Linked DNA regions of Drosophila melanogaster. The protein of the gene in region 1 purifies or fractionates together with the protein of each later gene. This does not show direct contact. Each region holds a gene or a part of one and is shown on either strand. Other genes may lie near its edges. The genes, in order: Mfe2 and CG10859.

Evidence for each region.
Region 2: the proteins of Mfe2 (region 1) and CG10859 purify together in Drosophila melanogaster (affinity purification with mass spectrometry, with the first as the bait; one large-scale study listed by BioGRID). This does not show direct contact.

The regions. Positions count from the first base shown.
Region 1 is NC_004354.4:16,268,808-16,274,341, forward strand, and holds Mfe2 (peroxisomal multifunctional enzyme type 2), read left to right. Parts: upstream 1-2,143; 5' UTR 2,144-2,289; intron 2,290-2,596; exon of another isoform or gene 2,597-2,633; 5' UTR 2,634-2,712; coding exon 2,713-3,421; intron 3,422-3,717; coding exon 3,718-4,805; 3' UTR 4,806-5,008; downstream 5,009-5,534. Other genes in the region: kat80 (katanin 80), read right to left, coding at 1-534, 1,172-1,307, 1,432-1,773, 5,477-5,534. UniProt on the Drosophila melanogaster protein: Bifunctional enzyme acting on the peroxisomal beta-oxidation pathway for fatty acids.
Region 2 is NT_033779.5:13,395,647-13,400,290, forward strand, and holds CG10859 (uncharacterized protein), read right to left. Parts: upstream 3,019-4,644; 5' UTR 2,776-3,018; coding exon 1,228-2,775; intron 1,164-1,227; coding exon 828-1,163; 3' UTR 746-827; downstream 1-745. Other genes in the region: CG16957 (uncharacterized protein), read right to left, coding at 1-455; CG7110 (uncharacterized protein), read left to right, coding at 3,574-4,005.

The DNA.
Region 1 (5,534 bases):
GTTCTTGTCCAGCGGATATAGATTGTAAATGTCCGGCTTGTGCAGTGAACTGGGTTCGTTCAAGGACATCAGGCGGGTATCGATGGCCCCGTAACTACTGCCATAGCTGGCCATATTATCAGGCACTCTGGAGTACTTACCCTGCCTTAGGGCAGAATCGATTGCTCCGCCATATACGACATGATGCGGCGCCAAGTCCGCCGACGATCCGGCCATCGAAGCCAAGTGGACAGGTGGCAACGAGGACATTGGAGAAGTCTCCGCCGACTCCAGCACCGCCTCGTTCACAACCTCCAGACTATAGTTGGGCGAGGACAATCCACTCTTGTCGCCCTCGTGCTCCTCCTGCACCTGTGCCGGCTTGGCACCGCCAACTGACAGCCTGAACTTCTGGTTGCCACGTGTAAAGCTCTTTCGGTTCGTCGAGTTGTGCTTAAAGTTGGGTAGTGAGTTTGGCGGCTGATAGAATGGTATCACTCGATCCAGACTGATGGTGTTGATTGAAACGGTGTCGATCTCATGACAACCACAGATCTACAAAAGGAAGTGCAATGGTTTTTATTGGATATTCCATTTGTAGACATTTTACATTTAAGATCTAAGATTGGTTTTTCAAAAAGTGAAAAACCTAGATTTCCTAAATTTGAATGCGAATTGATTCGGAAACTCAACAAGTTATGACATTCCATATTTGTGCCATTATTTTTAATGTTTTGCTCAAAATACCGATTATTTTTTTCGCATAAAATCAGTGAAACCAGTTTTGGCATAAAATGCAATATTTAAGATTGGTTTTCTGGGTATAACTTGACTAAAAATGGCCACACCGCCAAAAGAAATACCGTTTTGTGCTCCTAATTACCAATACTAACCACCCCTTTCACTTTTGGACGGATTTTGTAAAATTAGTTTTTGGCCAATTTTTCGCCTTTTTTATAATCAAAATTTTATCATCAAAATTTGCAAAAAATTTAAAAAACCTAGAATTCCCAAATTTGAATGCAAATCGATTTGGATTAAAAAAACAAACTCAACGAGGTATGACACTCCATATTTGGACCATTTTTTAGAATATTCTGACCAAAATACTGATTATTTTTGTCAAAAAAGATAACGGGGATGACGAGATTTGGAAGGGTGCTTCGCTTAATGAGTAAGTGCTTTCACTTACCAACTTATTGTTGACCACTTTCATGTCCGCCAAGGAGGACCAGGTGCTTTTTATATGGTCCAGCTCACGATCCGGTTCCCATCCAATTACCGAAATGCCCGAAGAACTGCCAACAAAAAGGCACTCGCCATTGTCACTGAAATAAATAAAGTTTAACATGCAGATAATTAGAATTTATGCACTTTTTGGCAAAATTACTATATTACTATTTCTTTTCATAAATCAATTCACGATTGCGGATTATTCTTTGCAGGACTCACCTAAAGGTTATACACCTGATGGCCTGGCCATAGAAGTGCGTGGTCTGCGAGACGAGCTGCTGGTGTTCCAGATCGTAAATGGAAACGGTGCCATCGACGCGACCGGCGGCCAGCAGGAACTCAAACGGATGGAATTGCACGCATGTGATAGCCGTAACCGGCGGATCGGCTATGAACTCCATTATCTGTTTGCTCTTCCGTATGTCCCAGATGAGTATGGAACCCTCCAGGCCAGCAGAGGCAATCCAAAGACCATCCGGCGAGAATTTTACGGAATTCACGTGGGACATGTGGCCGCGACATACCTTAATGCAGTTGTTTTCGTTCTGCACGTCCCAAAGCCTGAGATTGCAGACATATGAAAGTTAATAGTTTGCTAAATAAGCAACAAAGCATATGTAATTCATAAAGTTTCAATAATATATGTAATCTCCTAGTTAATTCATTTATTGTTGCTCAATTTATTGTTGTTTTATACATTTCTATGTTAAATAAAGAGACATAGTTGAATTTGAAATGTGGAAGATAAGTGTAATTTCCATAATTGTTCATTTTTAAATTTAATCGTCTGGAAAATGAAAACGGGTTGGAGTCTTTGCTACGGCTTAGCGAAGTTCCGAACCGAGGTTTACGTCCGCGATGCACTGCTTTCCAGCATTTTGACGGCACTACTTTCTAGTGCTCACAAACGTATGAATGCGGGCAGTATATTTTAGTGCATTTTCATGGGTTGAACCGATTAAACGATTGCAAAATTATCTCGGCAGCGAATAGTGATGCACTTTGTACCACTGATACTGGGTTAATCTGTGCATATTCGGGCATACCATACCATCATACGGCGAATCTACGAGAACTGTAAGTTAACCCTTGTTTAATGTGTGTGTGTGTGGGCCATTTCACGCGGTTCGAATAACTGTGCTGTCGTCACTGTGCAAATGTATCTTGTATCTCGGATTTCGGCGATTTCGGTGCCATCCGAAAAGCACTTGACTATGAACCGTGAACCCCTGGACTTGGACCATATCGCCTGGGTAACGTTCTTCAGCCGAAGAGTCCAGAGTTACACTCACATATGCGAGGGCAGGGCAGATAGCATTATCGCTTGAGATTAAGTACGATTGAAAAGTAGTGCTACTCTCCTTTCTTGTTCGATTATTAGCCAACCAGTTTATTTTCATCGGTTCATTCGTGTTTTACAGCCGAAAAAGCGTTGCCGCAGAGACCGGATTTGTGCAGCGAAACCAGAAATTGCGATTGCTATTGACCAATAGACAGACCATGTCCTCATCCGATGGAAAACTTCGTTACGATGGCCGTGTGGCGGTGGTGACGGGAGCTGGTGCCGGTTTGGGCCGCGAGTACGCACTGCTCTTCGCGGAGCGTGGCGCCAAGGTGGTGGTCAACGATCTGGGTGGCACCCACTCCGGCGATGGAGCATCGCAGCGGGCCGCCGACATTGTGGTGGATGAGATCCGTAAGGCCGGCGGCGAGGCGGTGGCCGACTACAACTCGGTAATCGATGGGGCAAAGGTCATCGAGACGGCCATCAAAGCTTTCGGACGCGTCGATATCCTGGTCAACAATGCCGGCATTCTACGCGACAGGAGTCTGGTGAAGACCAGCGAACAGGACTGGAATCTGGTCAACGATGTCCATCTGAAGGGCAGCTTTAAGTGCACCCAGGCGGCATTCCCGTACATGAAGAAGCAGAACTATGGCCGCATCATCATGACATCGTCCAACTCGGGCATCTATGGTAATTTCGGGCAGGTCAACTACACTGCCGCCAAGATGGGCCTCATCGGATTGGCCAACACGGTTGCCATCGAGGGAGCCCGCAACAATGTTCTTTGCAACGTCATCGTGCCAACTGCCGCCAGTCGAATGACCGAGGGCATTCTGCCCGACATTCTCTTCAACGAGCTGAAGCCCAAGCTGATTGCTCCCGTAGTGGCCTACTTGTGCCACGAGTCCTGCGAGGATAATGGTAAGTGGGATCCGAAGTTATGCGAGAATTGCATTATCTCAGAATTGATTATCATATCAATTTGTATCAATTTAACCCTTTGAGAACTACAAAATTATGCAATTTTTGGCCAACCACTGCTAAGTCATCTTTAATATGTCCAGTAGTCCAATCCAAATGGTCAACATAATCTGCCTGATTAGGGAAATTCATACTGATAGCGTTTGAACTTAGACCGTTTATCAGGAATATGTGTACATGTGTGTATATATAGGGTTTATTAAACGTTTTCTCTCTCCCTCTTCTCCGATCCACAGGTAGCTATATCGAGAGTGCCGCCGGCTGGGCCACCAAGCTGCACATGGTTCGCGGCAAGGGCGCTGTGCTGCGTCCTTCGCTGGACGACCCCGTGACCATTGAGTACGTCAAGGATGTGTGGTCGAATGTGACCGACATGTCCAAGGCCAAGCACTTGGGTGCCATCGCAGAGGCCTCCGGCACCCTGCTGGAAGTGCTTGAGAAGCTCAAGGAAGGCGGCGGCGACGCCATCGAGGATGCCTTCGAGTTCAATAGCAAAGAGCTTATTACCTACGCCCTGGGCATTGGGGCATCCGTCAAAAACGCGAAGGACATGCGCTTCCTGTACGAAAACGATGCCGATTTCGCCGCCATTCCAACTTTCTTCGTTCTGCCCGGCCTTCTGCTGCAAATGTCCACCGACAAGCTGCTCAGCAAGGCTTTGCCCAACAGCCAAGTGGACTTCAGCAACATTCTGCACGGCGAACAGTACCTAGAGATCGTTGACGATCTGCCCACCAGTGGCACTTTGCTGACCAACGGCAAGGTCTTCGATGTTATGGACAAGGGATCCGGCGCCGTGGTCGTCACCAATAGCGAGTCGTTCGACGAAAGTGGCCGCCTGTTGGTGCGCAACCAGAGCACCACTTTCATTGTCGGCGCTGGCAAATTCGGAGGCAAGAAGGATCCCATCGCTGGTGTAGTTCCGCTGCAGCCGGCGCCCAATCGCCAACCGGACGCAACCGTCCAGTATACGACCAGCGAGGACCAGGCGGCGCTGTACCGTCTGTCCGGCGACAAGAACCCCCTGCATATCGATCCCCAGATGGCCCTGCTGGCCGGCTTCAAGACACCCATCCTCCATGGACTCTGCACACTGGGCTTCTCGGTGCGCGCCGTGCTCGCTCAGTTTGCGGACAACAACCCGGCTCTGTTCAAGGCTGTCAAAGTGCGCTTCTCCGGACCCGTAATTCCGGGCCAGACTTTGCGCGTGGACTTGTGGAAGCAGGGCACACGCATCAACTTCCGCACCGTGGTCGTGGAGACCGGCAAGGAGGTCATATCCGGCGCCTATGTCGACCTGAAGAGCTCACAGGCCAAGCTGTAAGCGCGGATCACCTAGAGACACATAGTCTGCCTTAGTCGCAATGGATTATCATTGACTTTATAATTCGTTTCGCGTCCGTTTTTTTTTGTACATACACTATAACAAATATGCCTATACATATGCAATTGTTTAAACGCCCGTGGTGGTAGAAGTATTTTTTTGTAACACTTTTATAAAACTCCCAATAAAACATCACATAACTGAAAATGCAATGTTGTTTAAGATCATGGATGTAATAGATCTGAGAGATAAGATATATGAGATCCCAAAAGAAATATCAACTTTAGCTAAACAACACAAAGTGATATTATCTTTGTCAGCCTGTCCCCTTTTGTGCAATGTAGTGAGTCATATTATCTTTGTTTTACACATATATAGGTCAAGTGATATCTAAGAAAAGACCATATAGATACAATGCATCTAATATGTATGTGCATTAAACCGATATAAAATTTCTAATTTCTAAATATGAGATTTTTCTTTTGTGTAGATTATTAAACCCAAAATACGCGATTCTATAGGATTAAGCACAGCTAAAAGAGGGAGGGAGAATATCGCCATCCCTTTTCAATCAACGAATAAACTTTAAATCTGCCACTTGATAAGGAAACTAGAGCTTCCGAATGACTCATGGGTTACTCTGACTATTTATATATCGGTCCTTGGCTCACCTGACGGTGGTATCATTGCTCCCGGACACCACATATTCTCCAGACGGGTTAAAGTCCA
Region 2 (4,644 bases), on another chromosome or scaffold:
GTGTTCATTTGGTTGCGTGAGAGGTCGCTCAAATCATCAAAATCCTCGCTGTCCTTCAAGTCCTCTGGTGAATTGATCAAAATCCTCGAAATATCCCGACCGGCATAGTTTGGATTAACGCCATTTCGTCCGTAATAGTGAACGGATCGCGAGACATCGTAGATGTTGAAAAGGATGGCCACTAGGATGCGACCGTCCGCCCGTGTGCCGTCATATTCCCGAAGTTCCCGAACCGTAAAGTCCTTCCGCAGTGGCGGAAGATCCACTTCCTGATTATTATCATCACTGAAGTCTGGTTCCTCGCGGCTCAGACGACGCGCAAAAAATCCCAACTTGAGGAACACGACGATCGACATGATCAAAAGGGTGACATCGATGGGTGTTTCCTTAAGGGAATTGTAAAGTTTGCAGTACCAGCTGGTGGTGTGTTCCATGCCCTTGGAGCTCTCAGCCATCCTGGTGCTTTCAATTCCAGAGTGTGAATGAATGAAGTGAAAAATTGTATGCAAACTCCCCTAACGACTGCCTTGTACTGACTGCCCTTTGTTAATTGATTGAAGTATTCAGTTAGGCCTTCTTTTTCTGAAAATTTAAGTAAACACCAATAAATCAGGGGATTCGATACCGATACCGGATACCTTTTACTCAGCTAATCGCATTACCCCTTTTGCGATACCTTGAAACTTGTGGAACATCCACATCGATTATATTACACTCTTTAATTGTAGTATAGCTATTGAAACTTATTATTTAAATTGCTTTATTGAAATGCATAAATGGGTTATACAATATTGTAAGAAAATGCTGGTCAAGTTATAACAAGGAAATCAAGGAATGGGCTGATGCATTTCGAATACAGTGCGCTCCATGGCGAATGTGCGCTTGGAACGCTGTATGGCGACATTTTCCATTGCTTCGTTGAACTCCAGAAGAGCCTTGCTGAATTCCGAATCGCTCTCGATCATCCTGAGGAATATGGTCGCCTCGTCCTCAACCTTCGGCTCCATCTCCTTCTTGGCCTGACCCTTCTTCTTCTTGGCCTCCAGCTTTTCCCTGGACTTGCGTTCCTCCTCCAAGAAGATGGTGGTCAGGCGCTTCTTCAACTTGATCTCTTCCTCGCGAGCCTCCAGAAGTTTGCAGCGCTGTATCTCCCGTTCAAACATCTGAACTTTCAGGAAATACATTAGAAAACATTGGGATCTGGAAGAGATGATAATCATCACTCACCGACATCATGAGAGACTTCTCCTTGTTGGTGGCACTTCGCATACCCTCCTCCAGGCGGAGCATCAGGCAATCGCCGTTGGCCAGGCTCACGGTTAGCATTGTTCCATCCGGCTTGAACACCAGATGGGTAACGGCGTACTTGTATTTGATGGTGAGAATCGGTCGTTTGTGAGACATCAGCAGGTCCCAAAACTCCAAGTTGCCCATGTTGTCTCCGATGCAGAACAGCGAGCAGCGTCCCGTGCTCCAGGCACCGCTCAGCAACTGATTTGGCCGGCGGAAGTAGAAGGTACTGGGGCAGTTCTTTACTTCCTCCGACCAGATCCGCACCCGCCAATCGCCCACCACCAAGAAGTTCTTTACAAAGAACGGATTACGCATTACACAGCGAATGGGACCGGCAAAAAGTTGATAGGCAGCAACGATAGTATCCTGCGGAGTGGTGCCCTTGCGATTGCCTACGAACAAGTAACCCATATCGGTGCAGAATATGAAGCGCACTGGTATGGTGTACTCGAACTCGAGAAAAGTTACGCCATGTGCATCCTGGCGATTTTGAACTGTCTGGGGGTCCGGTTCGGCCAGCACCTCATGAACCGGCATAAGAAGATCCCGGGTATCCCAGTACTTGATGGACCCATCCAGTGATCCTGAGTAAAACTCAGTGTTGAGTTTCGAGTGCACCCAGCAGATGGCCGTTGTGGCCTCGCGATGACACGCCTCCAGGGGACACATGCTCTTGGGACCACCCTGGTTCTCGGTTAGCCAGAAGCCGACCTGACCCTCCTGTAGTCCACCCACCATGTAGCTCTCATCCCGCAGGCACACCTTGGCAACCCGTACGACTCTCCTAGAATCGTAATGGGCAGCCGGTCGGGTGGCATCATCCAAGTTCCAAATGTAGAATGCATGCGGATTATCGTTGCCAAAATCGGGCAGCGTGTTTAGCTGTTTTGTGTAGTCCGGTGTCAGGCTCATTCGATTGGAATAGAACAGGAGAAACTGATTGGGATCGTTGTTTAGCCATTCGCACGTCATCAGCCTACGCGATGGGATCCACAGATCATGAAAGACATGGGTACCCCTGGCAGCGATCTTCATGCTGATGCCGCGGCCCAAATCCTCCGGTAGATCCACAAAGAAGTCCTCGTAGATGTTGACAGCATTGTTGGCCGAACTGATGTCCATTGCGGCGTGCATCAATTGGTTCACCTCGATGCCCCAGGAGTCATCACGCTCGACTTTTTTGCGATAGCGCATTGTGGACTCCTCGTCCATAATGTTCACCTCCTTGACGTTCCAGCCGCCTTCGTAGTGATTCAAGCCATGGGAATCCAGGGTCACGTTGTGTGTCAACACTGAAGATGCTGCATACTGTTCGCTCAGCTGGGTCCGTTCGTTGATCGGATTGCGCAGTATGTACTTGAGGCGCAACCGTCCACTCGGCTGCACACTGAGGATCATCTCGTTGCGGTCTGTGAAGAGGCACTGCCTCCCGAACCGGCGACGCTCCCGCGAGAGGATGAACTGATTGCCCAAGGTTCCCATTGCAATCGACTATATATATAATATATATATCAAATATATATAATTTTTTTTTATATAACAGATATCATAAGAATTGGGAAGATAGTGATTATCCCTGAGTGCTACTTTTTGGAACGATTGTAGGTATTAGGGCTTAAATAATGTCACTGGATAAAAAACGAAGTAATTTTAACGTGTTTGCTTCTTGAACAAATCTATGAAATTGAATGAAACCGTGGGTAGAGATATACTTTTATATCTGACTTATTAGTCATGGATAACGTGTATTTTAAATATATGTACACTTTCAAAGCTTGTAACTAAATACTATTAAGAAATATAGTCTACAATATAAAATTAAATTTATTAGTTACAATAGCATTTTTACGTATTTATCTTGTAGTTCCTGCGAAATTTCTTAAAATAGTGCAACTTATTTTTATATTACATTAAATATATTTTAAATCCAAAAATGTTAATTAACAGTGAAATAACAGTTTCCGGTGTGTAATTTTACAGCAGTCGGGTGACCATTTTCTAAACGCGTTAGTGTGCCTGTTGCGGGTAGTAACAGGTAGCCAAGATGCGGTCACATCGCATTGTTAGAACGCGGAAAACATTCAACTTTTTCGAAAGCAACGCCTAATTTATCCAATTAAATAGTGCGTAAAAAGTACAGAGCAAGCTTTGTTGCGTTGGCATTGAATGTGCGAAAGCGAATTGAAGCATTTTGCAATATGGTGAGTTGCAGGCTATGCCAATTGGATTATGTACTTTGTCTATTTTGATAAGCCTGTGCACAAATCTGTTGATTTAGAAATGGATCTGCAAGAATTCCTTTCCCTGGAACGCCAACAACTGGAGAAGGATCGCCAGCGGCTGGGCACCCAAAATCCCTGCCCCGCCGTCCAGCTAATGAAGTCCAACGACTTTAAAGTGCAATGTCGCAGGGCCAAGGAGTTTAAGGAGTCCACGGAGTCCAATGAACTCGCCACACAATCGTCTTCCTTGGCAACCGGCGGCCAAAACGAAGAACTTCACTTGGACTTGCACGAGGAGGAGGAGCAACCGCAGGATGACGAGCAGGGTGTGCTGCCCTCCCACCCCTCGAAGTCCACCAAGGAGCTCGCGAATCAGCGCCAGCTGCTCGTCGGCAGCGCTCGTCCGTATAAGTCGCCAGATGCGTCGATGCGACGCAATTTGGAGAACGAGCGGCCGCTCAGTGAGAACCGCTTCCCAATTCATCGTTCGGTAAGTGCACTGAAAGAAAAGAGTATTGAATATAATTTTATTTAAGATAGTACCCATTTTTCTAGTCCACAAAAGAGTTCATATTAAAAGTATTAAAATTGTTTTAACTTACGCATGCCATGCGTTATTCATATGAAATTGTATGCACTGAAATATAAATGTATGTTGAAAAAGTTTATATAGGATGTATGTACGTTTGAGTTTGTTTTCAGTGCAGATCCACTGAATCAGCGTTGAAGATCGAGCTCTAGAATGTGCGTTGCGCTTCACTGGCGCCTCTTACCGCATCGCATCGCCAATTTGTCTAGCGATTGGCCATAAATGTGCGAAATGGGTTTCTCTACGCCTCGTTGCGCTGTTCACTTATGTTCAAGCTTTTCCAAACTCAATTTTTTAGGAATCATCGCCTTAGTTGCAAAAAAGGTTTCACAGTGCTCTTAGTCTTAACTAGCTGCTTGTGGGCAATTTGGTGAGTTCTGGACATTTAGAAAGCCTTAAGTATAAAATATATTACTATTTATGTCGCTGTTGGTTAAAATATAAAAATTTACATACTTTCGAACAATTTAAAATTTAAATTTAGCCTTTACTGAAAAGGGCCTTCTATAATGCTTCCTAAAATTTTGTTTAAAATAACAA